Coturnix japonica: one gene and its partner. The protein of the gene in region 1 purifies or fractionates together with the protein of each later gene. This does not show direct contact. Links are inferred from orthologs where the notes say so. Each region holds a gene or a part of one and is shown in the gene's direction. Other genes may lie near its edges. The genes, in order: SFN and GAN.

What was found.
Region 2: the proteins of SFN (region 1) and GAN purify together in Homo sapiens (affinity purification with mass spectrometry; 3 studies listed by BioGRID and IntAct, with this or other methods). This does not show direct contact. The link is inferred for Coturnix japonica from reciprocal best matches to the Homo sapiens genes SFN and GAN.

Annotation. Positions count from the first base shown.
Region 1 is NC_029538.1:1,605,372-1,608,775, forward strand, and holds SFN (14-3-3 protein sigma), read left to right. Parts: upstream 1-1,230; 5' UTR 1,231-1,383; coding exon 1,384-2,124; 3' UTR 2,125-2,623; downstream 2,624-3,404. UniProt on the Homo sapiens protein: Adapter protein implicated in the regulation of a large spectrum of both general and specialized signaling pathways. Binds to a large number of partners, usually by recognition of a phosphoserine or phosphothreonine motif.
Region 2 is NC_029526.1:13,711,265-13,715,081, forward strand, and holds part of GAN (gigaxonin), read left to right. Parts: intron 1-581; coding exon 582-731; intron 732-988; coding exon 989-1,125; intron 1,126-1,511; coding exon 1,512-1,640; intron 1,641-3,817. UniProt on the Homo sapiens protein: Probable cytoskeletal component that directly or indirectly plays an important role in neurofilament architecture.

The DNA of each region.
Region 1 (3,404 bases):
CTGCTGGGCAGAACTCGAATCAAAATGAGACTGACAAAAAAGAAGGAATAATAATCCCAATTCTTCCAGTACAGCGTAAAGGGAGAGAAAAGAGCCCCGGTGGGATGAGCGGAGAGGGTGGGGGACATGGGGATGGGTGGTGGAGAAGCCTTAATGGGGATCCAGTGGGGTTTGTGGGTGTGGAGCTGCCTTGGGTTTGGGGATGTCCAATGATGGTTCAATGGGGGGGTTGGGGTTGAGTACTTGCAAGTGCCAGGGCAATTCCCCCTGAGCAGGCAGGGTGGAGGAGTTGGGAATGCCCCAATCCCAATCCTGGCCCTGATCCCTGCAGCAGTGCTGGGGTAACGTGCTGCTCCTCCTGCCTCGATTTCCCCACCAGTGGGAATAAATACCAGCCCTTCAAGCCCTTGCAATCACCGACAAGTTAATCATCATATAAAAATGACAGCGATGGGATTTTTGGGGAGGAGACCATTTTTACAGCCAGGTTTATTCCCCGTGCTGTTTCTCTAAGGGTGGTTGGGATGGGGGCACTGGGTGCTGCCGCTTTCCTGCTTCACCCCAATGTGACGACCCCACTGCTCCCTGTTCTGAGCACTCCTGGCAGATGGGGAAGGGTTCCCCCATTGGTCCATGGTCCCCCATTGATCTGGGATCTCCATTGATTCCTGGTCTCCCATTTATTTGGGGTCCCCCATTGATCCGGTTTCCCCCATTAACTCAGGGTCCCCCATTGATCTGGGGATCCCATTGACTGATCCCAAGTCTTCCAAGTATTTGGGGTTTCCCATTGATTTCGGGATCCCACTGATTCCAGGTCTCCCGTGGGTCTGGGTATCCCATTGATCCAGGCTCTCCCACTGGTTCAGGCTCCCCCACTGATCTGGAGTCCCCACTGATTCTAGGTCTCCCATTCATTTGGGGTTTCCCATTGATCCGGGGTCCCCAGTTGATCTTCCCTCCTCCATTGTTTCAGAGTCTCCCACTGACATAGGATGTCCCATTGATCCAGACTTCTCCATTGATCCAGTGGGACATCCCATTGACACAGGGGGGGCTCACCATGAACTCCCTGAACACATCCTCTCCCTCCCGGCACCCACCTGATCCAGGGCAGGGTGGGTGCCACCCGCTCACCCCTTCCCCATCACCCTGTGCCTCGGGGCATGATGACTCACGGCAATTTGCTTTTTAAGGGCGGGCTCTGCGGGGAGGAAGCAGAGGAGGAGGAGGCCGCTCCTTCAGCCTCGTTGGCTCCTCCTGCTCTTGCTCGGGGCTCCGACGCTCAGCCAAAAGCGAATCGGGGCGGTGAAGCTCAGCAGAGGCTCCGACGGCTCCCGGCCCCACTCCTCGTCTCATCCTGCTCCTCATCCGCCCTCAGCCATGGCAAGAAACCACCAAGTGCAGAAAGCCAAGCTGGCCGAGCAGGCTGAGCGCTATGAGGACATGGCGGACTTCATGAAGGCGGTGGTGGAGCATGGAGACGAGCTGTCCAACGAGGAGCGCAACCTCCTCTCCGTCGCCTATAAGAACGTGGTGGGCTGCCAGCGCTCGGCGTGGAGGGTCATCTCCAGCATCGAGCACAAAACCGAGGAGGGAGACGACAAAGCGCAGCTGGTGAATGAATACAGGGAGAAGGTGGAAGAGGAGCTGAAGGGCGTCTGCAACGTGGTGCTGGGCTTGCTGGAGAAGCACCTCATCAAGAAGGCCGGAGATGCAGAGAGCAAAGTGTTCTACCTGAAGATGAAGGGAGACTATTACCGATACCTGGCTGAGGTGGCCTCCGGCAACGACCGCAAGGAGACGATCGACAGCGCCCAGAAGGCGTACCAAGAGGCCATGGACATCAGCAAAAAGGAGATGCAGCCCACGAACCCCATCCGCCTGGGGCTGGCCCTCAACTTCTCCGTCTTCCACTACGAGATCGCCAACGCCCCCGAGCAGGCCATCTCGCTGGCCAAGACCACCTTCGACGAGGCCATGGGGGACCTGCACACGCTCAGCGAAGACTCCTACAAGGACAGCACCCTCATCATGCAGCTGCTCAGGGACAACCTGACGCTATGGACAGCCGAGTGCGCGGGTGAAGACGGCGGCGAGGCTGGCGAAGAGCCCAAGAACTGAACGGCCCCCAATGCAGCTGGGGTCCATCCCCCACCTCCTTCCTCCTCCCCTCCCTCCCAGACTCCCCCCCCTTTCCCCTTCCCCTTCCCGAAGCCCTTCGGTGTCTTTTCCTTTTGTTTTGTTCCTTTTTTAAGGAGTGGGGAAGGTATTTCGCCCCCCCACCCTTACCCCCCCTCCAGTTCTGGGAGTGGGGTCCATATGTTTGCCCTTTGGCAGGGCCTCCCCTTTCCTTCTCCCCCCCCCCATGTTCTTGTCATGCTCCCCTCACCCCTTTAACACTTTGTTTGGGGGATACCCCAGCGTAGCTTAGGGGGGGCCCTAGCCCTCTGTCTTGGGGGGCTAGAGCCGTGCCGCTGGTCCCTTGGGGGCAATGGGAGGAGGTGATGGGACGGGATGGGGAGAAAGGGGAGGGGGGGGGTTGATGTGCCCCCCACCCGGATGGAGGATTGCGAATTGCCGAAGCCTCTGTGTGGCTCCAATAAACCATCTCGTGCACGTCTGCCTCTGTGGTCGCCTCATCTCTCCTGTCGTGCACAAGCCCAGGCAGCTCCTGCAGCTCCCACAGCCGGTCCCATTGCGTGCCACGCCATGCTGGGGAGCACTCGGGGCCTCCAAAGTGCAGGTCTGGCTGCCTGCAGCCCCTCCCAGCCCCGCCATGGGGTGTGGGGGTACTCAGCCAGCCCCAGACCTCAGGGACGGGTCTCAGAATGGGCTTTCTAGGTGGGTTTTCCATAGGGAGAGTATGTCCCAGGTCTCCAGCCCTGCAATTGTATGTCCCCATTCCCATGGTGTCTCCATCCCTTTGGTTTTCCCATTCTTGTACTGTCCTCATCCCCAAGATGTTCCTATGGTGTCCCCACCCCCATAGTATTTCCATCCCCGTAGGGTTTCCATCCCCATGGTGTCCCCATTCCATAGTGTCCCCATCCTCATAGTGTCCCTATCCTCATTATGTTTCCACCCTTATGGTCTTCCCATCCCTATGATGTCCCCATCCCTACAATGTCCCCATCCCCATCTTGATGTCCCCACCTCCATGATATCTCCATCCCCATGGTGTCCCCACCCAAACCACGCAACCCACAGTGTCCCAAACCCCATTACTGGGGCTCCGTGCAGACAGGGGGATGTTTCAGCTCTTCCCCTCCAGCACTGACACGGAGCTGTCACAGGGGAGGTGACAGCATCCCACCGAGGTGAGGACATCCCCATGGAGGTGTGGATGTGCCGGCGCTGGAGAAAGCTCAGCACTTCTGGCCCTGGCTCTCAGCCACAGCGAA
Region 2 (3,817 bases), on another chromosome or scaffold:
GCAAAACATTCAGTTGTTTCTGCAGGATTATAGTCTGAATCTCTGATCATTTGCATCGTGTGCATTCAGAGTCATGGTAGGGTTTGCTTCCTGCTTATACCCTGTTGTTACCTGCAGCCTGCTAACAGCTGCAGGAGTGGCAAACACAAACTGTTACTGAAGAGCTGCTTCAAAGAGGAACTTGAGGAATTCCTTGCTGTCGAGGGCCTGTACTTGAGCTCAAAGGAAATCCACGTTTGTAGTTGTGATGCACTTTGAGAGTACAGACCTGAAAAGTTTCATTGTGGAGACCACTGCTGTGCAGACTGAAATACGGCCAAGCTCTGTTCTAAGGTTTCTGCAGGGTCTCTTTTGCTTTTGCTGCTCTGTTTGTTTGTTTTTAGTACCCTTTGTATTCTTTAATTGGAGAATATAATAATCTTATTTGTGAGATTCAGACTTCATTGTATTAAAAAATAACAGAAAAACCACTGTAGTAATTGATACCAGTATCACTTGTCTGACAGACACGAGAGAAGATTGTATTGACTGCTCAGTTAGCAGTTATGTTTTACAGTGCTGACCTCATTGATATCCCTTAGGCACGACATAATTTTGGTGTGGTGGAGATTGATGGAATTCTGTATATTCTGGGAGGTGAGGATGGTGAAAGGGAACTAATCTCTATGGAGAGTTACGATATCTATAACCGTACCTGGACCAAGCAGCCGGACTTGACCATGGTTAGAAAGGTAAGAGCTACATTGTATTTTACCACCTTCCTTGCTGTTAAACAGTTTCAACTATCCTGTGTATCATAAGGCTTTGTTTCAATTAGAAACTCTTAACAAGTGGCAGGGAAATGAGAGCAGGTCCCTTGTTAATGTGTATGTTAGAACCATGACTGAATGTTTATGTATAATATACATAAATGTGCAGAAGTGTGTGTATAATCAATTTTCAGCTCTGGATATCGCGTGTTTATGTGCAATTTTCTTTTTTCTTTGAGATTGGCTGCTATGCAGCTATGAAGAAGAAAATCTATGCAATGGGTGGAGGCTCCTATGGGAAGCTCTTTGAGTCTGTTGAATGTTACGACCCCAGGACTCAACAGTGGACAGCCATCTGTCCTCTGAAAGAGAGAAGGTGGGTGAAGGTGAAGCTTGGGGGGAGAGGGATGGATAGATTGCTGGAGTGTATCCAGTCTGAGCCCTCCAAAATGGTTCCTAAAGCACCATTATTATGGTGGCTGAGTAAAGAGAAGAATCCAACCCATCAAAATGTGCTTAGCATGTCACAAGCAATGCTATCCTGAAGCAAAATGAAGAGTAGAGGTTGTCATCCAATTGGAACTTCAGCTTTTTCTCTAGAGATAAATACATTACTGTAGTGGTAAATACATATATTTTTTTTCATCAATACATGTTATATCTAAAAATACATGTAAAAAATGAGAGAACTCAGAAGGATGGAATGTTTTATTTTATCTTCTGATTGTGTTTTTTGCTTCTTTTTCCTTTCTGGATTCCCAGGTTTGGGGCAGTGGCCTGTGGAGTTGCCTCTGAGCTTTATGTGTTTGGGGGGGTCAGGAGTCGTGATGACAGCCAAGCCAGCGAGATGGTGACGTGTAAATCTGAATTTTATCATGATGAATTTAAAAGGTAACTAATTACAGCTATAAACCTGGGGAATGCATACAGATCAGCAGTCACAGTTGGTTGGCTCTGGAAACAGTGTAGATTCTTGTCATAAGAAAAGGTGCTGTGGGTGCTGTTCAGTCCACAGTTGCCTCCAGATGCTACACGTGGCCGATCTCCTCTTGTTTGTTTTGAATTTGTTTCTGGTGATTTCATTTGTTATCTCTTGGCTTTTGTTTTAGAATCTGCTTCGCTGCATGTGGTAACTGCTTTAAACATAGCTTACATTAGGCTGAATTTTATGGATAGTTAATTCATGCTCCGGGTGTCACTGGGAAACTTTTGTACCTGCACTCTTTTCTTTTTGCATTCAACTATAAATGGGATTTCTTTGCTTTTTTTTTTTTTTCTTCTTAACTGAATTGAAATAAGACTCTGCTGTCAGATATCTCAAAGTGAGTTAAATATGGCAGAGAGAACTAAATCTGTTACAAGATTGCATCTTTGAATGTAGCCTATATAAAAGCACATAAAAATCGTATAGCAGTGGGGAATTTATTATATAACTTCAATCTCTGTATGAAATGGACTTTTAGTTGTTCTAAGTCACATCCATGTGAGCCCTGACCAAAAGAAGCTGGAGAGGAAATGCACGTCAAGGTGGTTATGGGAAGCAGACAGATAAGAGTTGCTACTGATCCTCCCTGGTGTTTTTTGTTTCTTTGGGGCCATGGGGAAATGTTATAAGCAAATAAGGCTCAGGACAGGAGGGTTTGCAGAAGAAAAATTCTGGAAATAAATGCTTTCCGACAAACTACCTCCTGGTTTTGGTTGACCTGACGGAAATGTTTCCAGACTGATGCTGTTCCTCAGAAGGTGCTTTGTGGCTCACAGTTCCTTACCAGTGACTGTAAACCTGTCTCACTGGTTGGTGCAGTTTGAGCGCAGGTGAGTTGGTGCCACCTGCTGTCTGTAGCACCGGTTCCTGCCAGGCCTGCGTTTCTCTGTTTTTGCTTAGTGGCATCCTAGGGAGTTACAGGATTCAAGTAAAGGTATGATGCAGTTCCAGTTCAGCTCTTGATTTTGTACCCCATCAGTCATGCGAGTGCCACAAGGGCTGTGCTGGCACAAGGTGAGATAGCAGTAGTCTGAATGTCCAGCTGCAGCTGGAGGCACCTGTAGGGAGCTGCTCAGATTGTCTCTTTGTCCTTCTGCCTTGCCAGTGTGTGTCATTTGTTTGGGAAATTCATCTTGATGTGAACCTGAGTTGGGGCTGTAGGCAGCTCCCGGGTGACCAGGACAGTCACCAGCAGTGCTACCTTTGCACTAAGCACTTCTTTGCTCTCTGGTTTGGGTAGAGCCCGTTTTCCCCCTCTGGAGCAAGAAGTGATGTTACTTACCAGGAGAGGGTGCTGTGATACCATGCTCTGTTACTACATCAGCCAGCAGGGACTGGCAGTTATCCCCAGATCCAGACACAGCCACACTTTGCAGGTTGAGTGCCATCTGTCACAGGCAGGGCAGGGCTTGAGGAGCCTGAGCTGTGTCTGCTTAGGGACAGTTCCTCCTTTTCATTAGTGCATGGCTAATGTGATACATACAGAGACTGATTCGTCATCTTAATGTTTCACAGTTACTACAGGTTATTAATTTATTATTGAAAAGCATGTATATTTCTACAGTGATAGTAGTTGCATATTGTTATCTCATTCTTCCTAACAAGCCACATCGTTTTCTGGCTGGGTTTAATTAACTTCAGAACTCCATTACGTTTGCTTTCTTTATGAGTATAAAAGCACTTCTGGTTGTTTGAGTTCAGCCTTCAGATATTGCTGGTTCACAGCTATGGGCAGCAATGGGCACATCTCATATATGTGTCATATCTCTCATTACCTGTGAGTAGAGGATGTAGCATCATCCTAGGAGCACGCAAGGAACTGAGTTACAAGTTTTGCTTAGTGTGTAAGAATAAGCATATGCAATTACATCAGTGCGTAAATCTGTTTTGGATTGGATGAAAGGAATGAGGCTTGACCTTATTCTGATGGCAACTGAGTCCAAAACAATTCACAGTGCATAGTCTTTCAGAATTGCAGTGCTTAAGTACAATAGAGACTCGTCCAAGGACTGGGAATGTGCGGAGCTCAAACATTGTGAGTCCTGCTACAGAATGCTACATAAACAAGTAGTGAAATAAATGA